Neurospora crassa OR74A: one gene and its partner. The protein of the gene in region 1 purifies or fractionates together with the protein of each later gene. This does not show direct contact. Links are inferred from orthologs where the notes say so. Each region holds a gene or a part of one and is shown on either strand. Other genes may lie near its edges.

Region 1 (2,903 bases):
CATGAGACCGGTAGGAGATGGGTAAAGACTCATGCTGTCGGTGGTGTAGTCCAGATACTTGGCCCTGACGTATCTCTCAATATCGTGAGAGTCGTAGTCACCATAGCGAAGCTGAACATCAATCCAAAACTTGTTCGTCGTAGTAGACTCGATGACATCCTTGGTATCGAAAAGGAGCGATGGGCGAGTAACGTTCCATTTGTGGCTGGCAAAGAGCTGGATATCCGCGCAGGAGCTGTTCATCTTGTAAGATTTTCTGGGATGAATGGTTTCCTTTTGAACCGATTCGATGCTTAGAGCCTCAAGCTCCTGATCGAAGACCTGGCAAAGATCCATGACCACTGACTCGTGGATCTTCTGCCACAGATGAGCTCGGAAGATCTGGATCAGGGAGATCTTGAGAGTAGGAATCTTGCCGTGCAAGAAGATACCAGTTAGATCCAACTGCACTTGGAAACCGACGTAGACATTGGCTCTGTTGATGGTAGGCGACCACCAAAGCGTGAAACGACGATTAGGAATCTGGTTGAGACCTGCGTATTTCAAAGTCAGTATTTGTGCGTGCATATGATGATGAATTCATGCTAGAGAAATGGTATGTTGAACTTACCGCTCCTCTGGGCATTTGTCAACTTCTTGAACTTCATCGACTCCTCGAAACCACTGGCCTTCTCCCAGAAGAGACCTTCCCAAGACGGGAAACCAGTTGCCTTGAACAAGGTATGCTCCAAGATGGTTTCGACACCACCAAGCGCCTGGATGACATCGGTACGGTATGCGTTAAGGTTCCAAAGTTTACCGTCATGCCTCTGGCTTGTCCACCAGAAGGGATTGCTCTTCATCAACTGATAGATCTTGAACTCGGAACGGGCACGGAAACCCTTGTCGAAGCTTAACGTGCTACGGTCCTTTTGAAAAAGAGTGTTTATACGGGGCAGACCGCGATCCCAGCTGTCCTCCAGATCCTCTAGGGTCAATCTGCGGTTCTGCTGGTTGGCCTCGAGACGCTTCTGCGAGTATTCCGTCCACACACGCTGGGAGTCGATAAACTCAGCTTCCCACGGGATGATGTAGCGGAAGATGTTGGGGATCAGCGTTTCCTCATCGTGCGACATGCCCGCACGGTAATGAGTAACTCCGAGATCTGTCTGTTTAGACCAGCGCTTGTCGCTAGTAGGGATAAGGATGTGTGATCCGGAAATCATACCCAAGCCACCAAGCTCCTTGGGAGTGTAGAAAACGGCAGGAGGGAAACGGGAAGGCATCTTGGAGTTGAGACCAATTTTGACACGAGTCTGGATTTTGGTTTCACACTTGACAATCGTGTCAAGCAGGTTCACGGTCGAAACAGCAGCCTCGCGGTAGTAAGTAAAGAGGGCAATCAGCGCCGTGTTCCACTTGTTAGCAATCTTGGTGAATGTGGTCGAGCCAGACGACATGAGAATCTGACGGATCCTGTTATTGAATTTCTGAATGTCCTCTTCGGTAACTTGTAGGAAAGCGTGAGCGGTGCGTTCCTTGGTCGTGTTGTCCACTAGTGACCAGACACTGTCTTTCACAGGGAACTCATCGTTCTGGTTGCGGATCTTGGGCAAGATGCGCACTTCGAAGCCGCACATGGAGAACAGGAGGTTCGGGTTATCCCTGCTGTACACGCTGGCGAAGGTGTCTTCCCATTCAATCGTCGTCACGGATCTTGGGAGGCGGTTCTTGAGATCCCAGAACACAGCTCTGCCGAGGTTGACGTCGTGCCTCATGAGACGCATACGCGAATCTCTGGGCCAGCACTTCTTGCTCTTGTAACCAATCACGTTCTCGAAGTTGGGATCAGGCTGCTCTGTCAAGAATCGCTGGATCAGGTCGCGAGATTCATCCGCGGTGAACCTCAAGAACACCCAGATCTTGTCGATGTACCTGGTGTACAACCTAATCGGGTGTCTTGTTTCAGTCTCCCGGTCCTTGAACTGAAGGAAGTCATTGGGTGCGTGGGGAGGACCGGCAATCTCGCTGGCACGCTGCGGGCCAAGCAACAGCAAATCGAGAATGAGACCATAGTACTGGAAAACGAAGGCTGAGAACTGCAGGCCACGAATCATACCATAGCTGTTGACATGGTTCATGTCCTTGTAAGTTAGGGTAACGTTATTCTTGGCCGTGATGTAGTCCGCAAGGTTGTGGTCCATTATCAACCGAAGAAGCGAGTTGAGCAAGGTCAGCTCAATCTTCTCGTAGACCTTGGAGAGCTGCGTCTCGATCATGACATTGCACTCGCCATTCGCGGTCTCCCAAACCCTGTCGAGGTTGTTAATGCCTTGAGCCCACTTGTACACAAGCAAAGGTGGCACCTCCGAATCGGAAGGCTTAATCCAAGCGGGGAACAGATGGCGCTGGTCAGCTTGATACCACAAGTACTGGTCGAGATAAGCATCGCTAATCTTCTCGATCGGTTCAATATCATAGACCGGGTTGATGGTGCTGTAGTTGTCGTTCATATCGATGCCGACTTCCTTGAAAGCTCTTTGAGTGAGTAGGAAGCGTTTGATACGCTCGAGGGTAGTGCCTGGACTGTCATATGCCTGCTCAATCAAGGCCAACTCCTCACGCTGACTCTGGTTCAATCTTCCCTTGGTCGAGTAAGCCTCACGTAGGCGCTCCAGCGCCAAGATAAGGATCTTGGTGTCATGCTTGTAAGACACACTGGGGAAGGGGATGGGAGAGAATTTTCTCGATTCAAGCCAGTGCACCGTAGTAGTGTAAATGGCAACAGCCTCCTCAGAAGAGACGTAGGGACCATCCTTCATGTGGTTGTGCTGGCGTTCTTGCTCGGCCTTGAGCCACAGACGCGTTAGGCGGCCAACGTTCTTCTTAGCAACGGTCTTATCGACGGTGGCACCCCGACGAAT
Region 2 (3,347 bases), on another chromosome or scaffold:
CGTCCCCGGATGGCACCGGCACAGGCACCGGCACCACCGCTGAGAAGGATGAAGAAAAACAACAACAGCCCCCCATAGACCCCAAGATCGTTGATCTCAAACTCCTCGACGACAACAACCTCCGCAAGTCCTCCATCAGCAGTTGCTCTAGTGACGCAACCGTCATTGGCGAAGAGGACAACGCCGCTGCTCCTCCTCTTGTTCCCATCATCACCGCCGCCGCCGCGGCGACAGCCAAAGACAAGGGGAAACAACAAGAACCAGCAGAAGAAAAGACGGAAAGTCCCGTCCCTCTCCACATTACCCCCCTAACTAGACAAGAACTCCAAAAGATCGCCAGGGAGTTTTCCCTGAGAATCCCGGCATCCCAGATCCTCAGTCCGGCGGAGATCCAGGGCTTTCTGTTGAGGCGCAAGAAGGACCCCAGAAGGGCGTTGGCGGAGGTGGACAAGTGGGTGGAGGAGCTGGTCAAGGCGAAGGAGAGTAAGAGCAAGATTTTGGATGCTAAGGCTATTTGAAGTGTGGTGGTGGTTGAATGTTGGTTTGGTAGTTATGGGTTGTGGAAGAGAGCAAGGACGGCTGGTTGGGTGGTGGGGTGGGTTTGGATATTCAATGTTGCTGGTGCTCCTAGATCAGGTGAGTTGCAACAACAGGCAGCCATTTTCTTGCTTTGTTTCTCAATTGAAGAGGTGATCCAAAAGCGCTTGGTTAAGGTTAAGAGGAACTGCTGATCGTGCTAGCCTAAGATAATTTTTTTTGGTCAAGTCGGGTCAAACAAACAGTATGAAATATGATGGAGGATTATAGTTCAACCTACCTCATGTGAGCTGTGTATGGCAGCAATTTCCTTGGAGGTGTTTTGGAATCAGTCTGAATTACCTATTATTATTGACTTCTTCTTGAAGTGACCGACAGAGGGCAAAGAAACGTCCATTCGTATTTCGTGATATGCTGATGATGATTGCTTCTTCCTAACGCGGCCATGCCTCATGTATCCTCTCAAGCCTTCAAATCAGGCAGATGCCGCAATTGGGCCTTCACCACCGGGAATCAACTGAGCACAGCTGTTAGTTGTTTGTAAACGCGAGCTTTGATGACGATGATGACCCACCATGCAGATGTTGTTGCCGTTCAACAGGATCTTCTTCAACTTGGTGTGGTTGCCGGAGTAGTCGCTGATCGAGCAGGAGTGAAGTTAGTAATGTCCTTCATGAACTACTTCCAGAGTAGGACGCGTCGTACAACTCAGTGACGTCCTCCAAAACCATGTCTATTTGAAAGTGAGTTAGCATAAGGCTCCGTGGGACGATATGAAGACAGGGGATGGTGAGGAGAGGCCCGCTACTTACTAACGTAGTCATCGAAACCAACAAGAGTGCCAGCGAACTCTGTTTTCATTCCATCATCAGTCAGCACATCCATCGATAAGTCAAAATCCAGCAGGGACAGCTAGGATGGCATAACGTGCCCTTGTCTCCCTTCATGACAACCCAGATGCGGGAACCAACACACTTGTCGATGAGCTCTGGGGAAAAAAACCACGTTAGCTGTCTTATTCTTGGATACCTAAGTAGTGGTGCCCAGCATGAGCTCTCTCACTCACCGAGAGGAAGTAATTGCGAGGCCATGTTGTATGTGGTGTGGAATGGTCGAGTCTTTAGGTAAGTCTGGATGTCGAAAGGGACGTTCAGTGGCTGTTCACTGAGCTTCGATTGTGAGGCCAACAAGGCGACAGGGCGTACGTACTAAGCTGTTGTACAGTGAAAAAAGATCAGTAATTCCCACAGTATCAGCGTGGACTCGGATTCGTTCTTGGCGCAGCTTATGCTTGTACCCATGCATATGAGAATAAACGGGGTATCTACCTAGGCTTCAGCAGCAGCAACTCGGCAGCGGCTGGACGTCGTGACAGCGCTGCTGTTGCAGTGGCAACCGAATCAATTAGTTCACATCGACCCTTCCTTGTGAACAAAGCAAACAGTTCGTTTGTGATTTCAGTATTCGGAGGCAACCAAATACGTTCGCGTTTCTGCCTGCCAGCAGCCAACGTTGCCCGTGACAAGGTATTTCTCGGTCCAATATTTGTTCAACTTGAAGTTTCAACGTCCACTCCGTCTCCGACTTCTTCTCTTGGTTCCCCCACTTTGACCGAACCAACATTCATATCAGTGCCCTGAAACCACCAAACACCTTTTCGTCTCGTTCCCCTCTGTCAGCATTCAAACGAATCGACAGGTCATGGCGCAGTTCTCTGGGCCTTGACAACCTGCAACATTACTTACTACCTACCTACCTCTACCACGCATACCTCCCACGCACTCGGCAACTTTGTGATCTGCGCTTGCCATCCATCGCTATAATGAGGTCCCCGCACCCTATACCACAAGCCATCGGCGCCGGTGCCAACGCCGTAAACAGCACCACCAGCTTGACTCTGAGGCAATGCCGGCGGCGTTTCTTTGCTTCTTCGCCCTCATCCTCGGTTCCTTCCACATCCCGTTATCCAGTGTAGGTTCACTGGCTCTTCCAGGTCCTTACTACTTCTCCGTATATTTTTGGCTGACCAGGGTTTTACACAAATCAAGACATCTTGGCGCCATGGAGAGGAAAGATCAGACGTGGAATTCAAGCCGGGGCATTACGTTTGCTGGCGATAGTCGCGGCAGCGTTGGATACCCGCAACTGCCATCTTTGGCAAGATATCACAGCGACTCTGCGGTGTCAGCAGCCTCAAACCCGGAACCTGTTCTTCCGCCCAACCACGATGGTGTCTTCAACTCCACAGGTGTACCTCAGGGAAATCCTGACGCGAATGGAACGACGTTAGACTCCCAGGGGCAGGAGTTTGTTGATGCACAGGAAGGGCTGGAGGAACAGTTCCAACTCATACTCGAGGATGGGAACGTTGAGTCGAAAGATGAGGATGCTTCTCTCAAGCCTCCGTTTACACCACTCAGCTTCACCATGTCCGAGGATCTCTTCAAGGAGGCGAAGAAGGCGGCCGAGGGCACTCCAAAGTCTTACTGGACTTACAACCTCTATCGTGGGCCCGACAAGGATGGAAACATGAACGAGAAGGTCAAGGTCCATTACTGCAGAAGTGCGACCACCACTGAGAGGGTCTTGAAGCAGTACTTCATGGATGAGAAGATTCTCGGTCTTGACTTGGAATGGGAAATCAGCGCAAAGGAGAGCCACGGCCCGAGGCAAAACGTGTCGGTTATCCAGATTGCTTCGGAGAAGCGTATTGGAATCTTTCACATTTCGCTCTATCCGAGGAAGGATGAGCTTGCTTCTCCGTTACTCAAGCAAATCATCGAGGACGCCGATGTTGTCAAAGCCGGTGT

Evidence for each region. The genes of interacting proteins can lie anywhere in the genome.
Region 2: the proteins of NCU07832 (region 1) and NCU03766 purify together in Saccharomyces cerevisiae (affinity purification with mass spectrometry; 4 studies listed by BioGRID). This does not show direct contact. The link is inferred for Neurospora crassa OR74A from reciprocal best matches to the Saccharomyces cerevisiae genes PRP8 and LSM5.

Annotation. Positions count from the first base shown.
Region 1 is NC_026503.1:1,009,962-1,012,864, reverse strand, and holds part of NCU07832 (pre-mRNA processing splicing factor 8), read right to left. Parts: coding exon 611-2,903; intron 534-610; coding exon 1-533. UniProt on the Saccharomyces cerevisiae protein: Functions as a scaffold that mediates the ordered assembly of spliceosomal proteins and snRNAs. Required for association of BRR2 with the spliceosomal U5 snRNP, and the subsequent assembly of the U4/U6-U5 tri-snRNP complex.
Region 2 is NC_026505.1:2,344,818-2,348,164, reverse strand, and holds NCU03766 (small nuclear ribonucleoprotein), read right to left. Parts: upstream 1,743-3,347; 5' UTR 1,629-1,742; coding exon 1,604-1,628; intron 1,526-1,603; coding exon 1,469-1,525; intron 1,389-1,468; coding exon 1,350-1,388; intron 1,271-1,349; coding exon 1,243-1,270; intron 1,176-1,242; coding exon 1,112-1,175; intron 1,055-1,111; coding exon 1,013-1,054; 3' UTR 818-1,012; intron 742-817; 3' UTR 533-741; downstream 1-532. Other genes in the region: NCU03767 (mitochondrial chaperone bcs1), read left to right, coding at 1-518; NCU03765 (3'-5' exonuclease/helicase), read left to right, coding at 2,360-2,508, 2,586-3,347. UniProt on the Saccharomyces cerevisiae protein: Component of LSm protein complexes, which are involved in RNA processing and may function in a chaperone-like manner. Component of the cytoplasmic LSM1-LSM7 complex which is involved in mRNA degradation by activating the decapping step.